2 linked regions of the Sus scrofa genome follow. The protein of the gene in region 1 binds, or shares a complex with, the protein of each later gene. Links are inferred from orthologs where the notes say so. Each region holds a gene or a part of one and is shown in the gene's direction. Other genes may lie near its edges.

Evidence for each region.
Region 2: the proteins of IL22RA2 (region 1) and IL22 are in contact, whole or in part, in a crystal structure (PDB 3G9V), measured with the Homo sapiens proteins. The link is inferred for Sus scrofa from reciprocal best matches to the Homo sapiens genes IL22RA2 and IL22. Residues at the interface, in NP_443194.1 of Homo sapiens: Lys65, Ile66, Tyr99, Gly100, Gln101, Arg102, Trp104, Gln128, Glu129, Pro130, Tyr132, Met148, Pro150, Arg151, Thr153, Trp155, Trp156, Glu157, Glu200, Pro246, Met247, Leu248, Asp249, Arg250; in NP_065386.1 of Homo sapiens: Phe47, Gln48, Pro50, Thr53, Asn54, Phe57, Met58, Lys61, Ser64, Leu65, Asp67, Asn69, Thr70, Asp71, Val72, Arg73, Leu74, Lys162, Gly165, Glu166, Asp168, Leu169, Met172, Arg175, Asn176.

What each region holds. Positions count from the first base shown.
Region 1 is NC_010443.5:27,076,338-27,079,986, forward strand, and holds part of IL22RA2 (interleukin-22 receptor subunit alpha-2), read left to right. Parts: intron 1-1,651; coding exon 1,652-1,787; intron 1,788-3,649. UniProt on the Homo sapiens protein: Isoform 2 is a receptor for IL22. Binds to IL22, prevents interaction with the functional IL-22R complex and blocks the activity of IL22 (in vitro). May play an important role as an IL22 antagonist in the regulation of inflammatory responses.
Region 2 is NC_010447.5:32,601,684-32,605,803, reverse strand, and holds the start of IL22 (interleukin-22), read left to right. Parts: upstream 1-1,296; 5' UTR 1,297-1,337; intron 1,338-1,448; 5' UTR 1,449-1,494; coding exon 1,495-1,680; intron 1,681-2,604; coding exon 2,605-2,670; intron 2,671-2,778; coding exon 2,779-2,925; intron 2,926-3,825; coding exon 3,826-4,017; 3' UTR 4,018-4,120. UniProt on the Homo sapiens protein: Cytokine that plays a critical role in modulating tissue responses during inflammation. Plays an essential role in the regeneration of epithelial cells to maintain barrier function after injury and for the prevention of further tissue damage.

The sequences.
Region 1 (3,649 bases):
GGAGAGGCAAAGCTTTATCTCTGCCCATTTTAGGTTTTCAGCTGGCACTCTTTTTTTTTTTTTTTAATTTACACAATGTTAAATGTCAATTTTATTCCATAAAAAAGTCAACTGGGTTCTTTAACAAAAAAGGTAGATTAATAAGAGAAAAACACTTCATTAACACATGCATCTCACAATACCAGGGGAAACTAACCTAAGAGAAGCTCAAGATGATGGCTTCGAATTCCAGCTTATGTTGCATCTTCAACAAACAACAATACATCTGCAGAAACAGGACAGGACTATTATATTTAGAATGGATAAGCAATGAGGTCCTACTGTACAGTGCAGGGAACTATATCCATTCTCTTGGGGTAGAATATGATGGAAGATAGTATGAGAAAAAGAATGTGCCTATATGTATGACTGGAAATTGACCCAATACTGTAAATCGACTATACTCTGATAAAGGTAGAATAAAATAAATCATAATTTAAAACCTCAGTTTTGAGTGTTAAGCAACTCTAAAATCTAGCTAATAAAAAGAACCTCTCCAACTGAAAAAAAAAAAAAAAAGCAGGATAGACCAAAGGAAAGTTCTAGGCTTCCAAGGGTGGGCAGTCAGTGGGAGAGTAAATATATGGGAGGAAGCTAAAGAAGTAAGTTTCATTTGCAGATTCTTCTGGTGCCTTCTCTGGGCTGATCAGAGTCTTTCTCCAGTAAAAGGAGAATTTATATCCTGCCTTTAGTCAGAAAAGGGGGGAAGTCAAGAGAGCTTTTTCCGCATTTGCTCCTTCTTAATTGCCTTCCTCTCAAAATAATTTTTATGTCAAAGAGGCATAGTGGGGAGTAAAGTATTCTGGTTTCCTTCAGAATCTAGGCCAAAATTTTGTCAAAGGTCTCTCGCCTCCAATGGACTAAATGCAGATGAGATGGAGCCTCCATGTTGGGTGAATTGAACAAGAAAACTCAAGGAATGCCAGTGTGAAGTTATCCCCCTTCTTACTGATTCCTGTTGAAACTCCTATGAAAAACAGGGACCCCACAGCACTGGGCAGCTTCCCTCCATCGCCTGGACCAGCAAGTATGCTCAGGCACTTGCAACCAGGATGCAGGCAGATAAGAGCATCCATTCAGGAGTGAAACCATCTACATGCAATAAATCCAGGTCATTTGAGAGAGATGGAGTATGATGAGTCAGGATCCAGATGGGCCCAGGGATGGAGAAAGAAGGAACAAGTCCTAGGCTGAGGTCTTGGAGGCAGAATTGCCTCGGTGGAGTGGTAATGCAGGGCCTCCTAGAGAGGTAGGCTCACGGCCTATGTGTGGGCCTTTCATCTCAGTCACCACATTCCATCACCACCAAGGAAGGGACTAAGGACCATTTCTTTTCACTGCTCTGACTCCCTCTCCAGGTTGGGAACAGGGGTGGGAATTTATCACTCAAACTTTTTAGAGTCTGGAACATAACTGTTCTGGAACTTTCTCATGCATCAAAACCATCATATCAAAGATTCACAGCATTGACTTCCGGGCTTCACTTGTACCACCTGCACTCATAGCAAGTCCTTCAGGGAATCCTGATGCAGGTACCACATTGCCAACTATTGCTAATAACAGGGGGTGCTCCTATCAAGGTTCAGTGTTGTTCCTTTTCTTATTATTTTAGAAATTCGGCCAGCCTACAAGTCTCTGAAACCTCAACGAGTCCATTTTCAGTCCCGAAATTTCCACAACATTTTGCACTGGCAGCCTGGAGGGGCTTGTACCAGCAACAGCAGCATCTATTTTGTGCAGTATAAAATGTAAGTAATCTAAAAAGAAAAAAAAAAATGTAAGTGATTTGCGCTTCCTCCAGCTGGTGGACATGGCCACTGAGATCCTGTGTTCTAGAATGTGATGGAGTGTTTAGAGTCTGAGCTTTTTTTCAGTTTCCGAAGGGTTAAGAGGAAACAGAGGCGGGGCCAGGAGTATCTCCCCCGAAGGTGACACAGATTGGATGATCATGTACAGTCTGTTGAGAGAGGTGCTTCTGCCCTCAGAGACCCAGGACCAAAACCTCATAGGCTTAGCCTTCAGCTTCACGACAGACTCACGATACATGTTTTGTCCAGTGAATGTTAGAAGCAAATTGTTCAGCACATAATAGGTGCTCCATGAAACCGATGCGATTGTTAGTTGAAAAAGAAGTTATGGGACACATGGAAGTGAGTGTGTAAATGATAATTTTAAATTTAAAGGTCCTTTTTCTTTTTTTTTTTTTTTAAGACTGGGCTTACTATTTAGAAAATTCCTTTCAAAAAGAATGCTTCCTGTGGGCATGAATGCAAATTGGAATCATGCTCCTTCAGGTTCCTGTGACCTTCAGGCTAATTCTGGTGGATTATTGCCAAAATCCAGATATAATCTACTCTGTTTCTGGATTGAGGCCTGGAACAGAAACTCCTGATTTGTAAATGACAGATTTTTCCCCATGCACACACTGGGGGCAGGGAAAGTTTGGGTGGGAGTTGAGGCTCTTTCCTTTTCTCACATAGTTTGAGATGCTGGCTGAACATGAGACAGGAGATATTATAGTTTAGCTTTTATGGTTTTTTCTTAGAAATTCAGAACATCAAATGCAGCTATGCACCAAAAGAGCAATTTTTATGCCATGAATTCATTCATGTCTCTCCAGCGTGGGGTAGGTCCAAGGTCAGATTTTTCCATTAAATAACCTCTCACCAACTATCTCCAGAAGACAACTATCTCCAGAACAACTATCTCCAGAAGTTTCTCAGTCTTTAACTGCTGCTGCTTTTCTCAACATATTTTGTGCAGCAATGGTACATTTCACAAATCTTCACAATAAAGATTTCTCCACTCCAAATACAGATGTGTGCATCCCTGGAGGTGCTTCCCACACGTGGGGATTAGGGACTGCAATCTTTTTAATCTTACCGTTTAGGCAGAAGTGTAAATAGGCTCTATGTCCAAAGTGGGCTTATTTATAGTCCAACGTAAACAGCGGATTAGGAGTTCTTTTACCATGAAATAAATGAAGATTAAACTTTAGGGCGCCATGGAAGAATTTCACAGTTGAAATTCTTTTTCTCAAATAGAGCTCATGAACCTGTGTAAAATGCAGAATACCTGGATCCATTCCTATGGTGGTATTTTCAACAGCACAGTGCAGATTTATATATATATGTGCATGTGTGTGTGTGTGTGTATATATATGTATTATGTATGTATGTGTATATACATACACATATGTAATACATACATACTCTGTATGTATGTGTATATACATACACATATGTAATACATACATACTCTGTATGTATGTGTATATACATACATATGCATATATATATGGGCCACACTCACAGCGTATGGAATTTCCCTGGCCAAGGATCAAATCCTGCGGGCGATACCTGATCCTCAGCCCACTGCACAGGACTGGGGATCAAACCCAAGCCTCCACAGAGACCCAAGCCACTGCAGTCGGATCCTTAACCCACTGCACCATAGCAGGAACTTCCAGATTCATATTTTTTAAATCTTTCACTTTGGGCCTATCCAGCTCTCATGGGTCTACTGTACCATTTGAATAGGACAATAATTGAGGTATTACATTAAAAAGAAACCATCATTGAGGAAATAAAACAGCCAAGTGCTAAAATAA
Region 2 (4,120 bases), on another chromosome or scaffold:
GGGCAAAAATGGTCCTATATTATATAATAGAAAATTGGAAAATAAGAGTGTTCTCATCCTGGGCTCACGAACAACCGCAAGCACATGTTTGTAACAGGTCTTGTTTTTATTTATTCTCCCTAACCTTCCCTTTTGCATCTTTCTTCTAAGACCACTTTCCCAAACGCCTCATGTCTTCATGCTGTTCTAACCCTTCATTGTGTCTCCTCGCCTAGGCCTGTGTTATCTCACAAAATGCTCAAGTTTCTACAATTATTCACATCCCTTCTTCAATGCTCCGATTTGAACTCATTGTGAGAAGACAAATGTGATCAAAGGAATTTGCAAAATTCCCATTCCTTCCCTTAGCAATAGATCAATGCCCTTGTCCCCTGCTTCCACCCCGTAGGAGGGTTTCTGTCTAGTTTTGAGATGTTATTTAGAACTCAATGTCTTTTTAATAATTTGAAGTTCACATGTAACCACTCAATTGCCAGATTCTCTTCTTTAGACCTCCATATATATAAAATAAAAAATATTATAAGATGTTTAGAAATATCATTTTGAGACCTGTGTTGTTTACAAAGAATGAAGGTGAAATTTCTAAGGGAACTACTATATCTACTATATTCTAACACACTTGCACGTTAAGAAAAATAGCGATCAGATGGTCAGCCTTAATTCTTCCAAACTTAAATTGATATTGATTATCATGTAATGAAAAAATGAAGGTATAGTATAGTTATTGTGGTCACTTAAAGTCACAGAACAGGAGGAAAATGGTGCCGAGATTAGCCAACCCTGCTATTTTTTTTAAAGGTACATCTTCTTCAGGATTCATATTAAAAACAGGAGGCAAACTTATTTTTAAAAATGGAATTATCTCCAAGCTGTCCTTACTGTTTATTTTAAAGCAGAGGATATAGGGCCCTTATTTTTTATCTCCTCTAATGAGATAAGAATCTATGAAGCTGGTAGGAAAACGAGACCGTGACCAAAATGCTTACTCACTTACTATAGGAGATCAAACACTATTATACTAAATCTGGAATCTACAAAGACAAAACGATTGTTTTCTTTGAAAATATGTAGGGTTTAGACAATTTCTGGGATTTGTCTGTAAAAGCACCTTCCGCACCCTAATAGTGACGTTTTAGGGAAACACTAGCGTAACAAGGTGGGAAGGACGGGAGGTGGTGCTTTGTGGGCTCCTATGGTGGTTAGGTAATTCTCAGAAGACAGCACTGGAAATTAGATGATGCTGATGTCATGTTTTTTCACACACACAATTTGGTGTCCTGGGGGCTATAAAAGCAGCAGCTTCTACCTTCTCATCACAAGCAGAATCACCGAAACAGGTAAGTGCTCCAGCAAACTAGGCATGACCTGTTTGTTTGGTGTGGTACTTTCTCGATACTTAATTTTCTTTCCCTTTGTGTTGTTTCTGTGTCTTGTCCCCTTGATACCAGGTTCTCCTTCCCTCGTCGCCAGTTGCTCAAGTTCGTGTCGTCTGCCATGGCTGCCCTGCGGACATCTGGGAGCCCTTTCCTTCTGGAGACTCTGGCCGCCAGCTGCCTCCTTCTCCTCGCCCTGTGGGCACAGGGAGGAGTGGCTGTGCCCATCACTCATCACTGCAAGCTTGACCAGTCCAACTTCCAGCAGCCCTACATCACCAACCGCACCTTCACGCTTGCTCAGGAGGTACTCAGCTCAGTCTCTCTTTCCTTCACATCGTAGCTACCTGGAACCCAAAGAGTTCTTACCATTTCTTCAGGGCACGTCTAAGATCTTTAAGAAACCAACATTTATCTCTACTGCTAGACCAGCCATCATGTTCTATGGCTCTTCTGAGACTCTTTGGAGGTGGAGCTTTACCAGAAGACCTTCTATTTTGGCCTTTAGAATATGTATATTGAGTTTTACTCGAAAAGGAGTCATTTAGCAGCCCATCTGATTATTCATTTTTCCCTTTACTCTTCGGAGAATTATTTCATTTTCTTTTATTTTTTGAAGAGAAAATTGACATTTATCCTTTTTTTTTCTTTAAACGAAGTTTAGTTGATTTACACTATTTGTTTCAGGTGTACAATGTAAGGACCCACAATTTTTAAAGATTATATTCCAGTTAGAGTGGTTATAAAATACTGGTTATATTACCTATGCTATACATTATACCCTTGTATCTTATTTATCTCTTTAATATAAATATAGTTGATTTACAATGTCTCATTAGTTTCAGGTGTACAGTACAGCAATTCAGTTATATATATATATATGTGTGTGTGTGCTTATATGTATACACATATGTATATACATAGATTCTTTTTCAGATTCTTTTCCTTTATAGATAATAACAAAATATTGAGTAGAATCCCCTGTGCTGTGTAGTAGGTCCTTGTTCATTATCTATTTTATATATAGTATTGTGTATCTGTTAATCTCAAACTCCTAATTTATCCCTCCCCCGACCCCTGAGCATTTTTTCCAACTGATGCACACGTCTGAATTCTTTCTTTAGTCTTTTTGGTGCTGCTCTGAGGAGAGGAGATAGAGTACAACTTTACTTACAGACATTTCTTCTAATGCGTTGATGCCCAGGAACTTAGGTCTTTTCTTCCCTTCCAGGCTAGTTTGGCAGATAACAACACAGACGTTCGTCTCATTGGGAATAATCTGTTCCAGGGAGTCAATGTAAGCCATCACCGTGATGCTATTTGTGCTTATTTGGAGTCGTGGTGGTGATGGGCTGGGGCTTCTGCATGCTGCCTCATGTGACCCCCGCTGTTTCCCTTCCATCAGCAGATGAGAGAGCGCTGCTACCTGGTGAAGCAGGTCCTGAACTTCACCCTTGAAGAAGTGCTGTTCCCCAACTCTGATAGATTCCACCCCTACATGCAGGAGGTGGCGTCCTTCCTGGACAGCCTCAGCAAAAAGCTAAGCCAATGCGTAAGTTCTTCTCCCAGCTTGAGTCCACCCACCCCGAGGGCCTGCCCTCCCTTCCTTCCTCTGTGTAGAGCCTTTTACTCTCCAGCCCTCATTGCCCCTCCTTGTGCAGGCAGCAATAAGTGCCTCAGCAACACCATTCCAGCGAGCATTCAGAATCACAGTTTGCTTTTGCTTTAGTTGAGCCACATTTTGGAGTTTATGATGATGGATATTTGTCCCTGGGGGGAAAAGCAACTCAGGTTATGTGGGATGAGAAACGCATTGAGCACTGTAAGGGAAAAATGCCTTTTGGTGTGAGTGGACCCACCAGGTATAAGTTGATGGAGGGAGGGGATGAGAATGAGAGGAAGAGGAAAGGGAAGATTTAATTCTTGGTGACGGATGGGCAAAGACGCTGCTCTTTTGATATGGGAAGTGCCGAAATCAGAGGCATGTGAGCTTGATGCCTCTGAACATTTAAGACCATGAGAAAAGGTTTGAGTGGAGTGAGCAGAGCAGAGGGGGCCTAGTATTTATTGCAGAAGGCCTGCTGTTCACATAAGATGTTTTGTGTATCTTTCTTGTTCTGAGCACACATTTTTTTGATGAGGTGCAGTTATGGTTTTATTCTTGACAGGATTTGCATAAACCACTTTCCACACCCTTCAGCCTCTGTAGCATTTCCCAAAGGTGAACCTGTGAACTGGGGTCCCATGTAAGTGAAATGACTGGATTTTGGTGTCCAAGGGAATTCAAGAGCTCAGAAAATCTAGGTCACTGGTGAAATCTAGGTCATTGTGGGCGAAATTGCTAAGAACATTAATTCCAGGTGAATTGGAACATACCTCAATTAGGGAGGCTGAGGTTCATAAGGCTCCAATCTAACAATGTTAAAACGTCACTCTGCTTTTCCTTTTGTAGCGTATTAAGGGTGATGACCAGCATATCCAGAGAAATGTGAACAACTTTAAAGACACAGTGAAAAAGGTACTGCTGATTACTCTTAATGCTAACTCACCTGATCTTAGAAGGGACAAGTGTTTTCTTTTCTTTCCTTTCCTTTCTTTTTATCTCCCCACATCACGATTTTTTACTCAATTCCCCTGCCATTGAGTTGATTATTTAGGTGTTTATGTGTGTCGATAGGTCTATTTATTTATAAATCAAAATTTCTAAAATTTGCCAATCAGAGAATTCTAGAACTGGCCAGGGACTT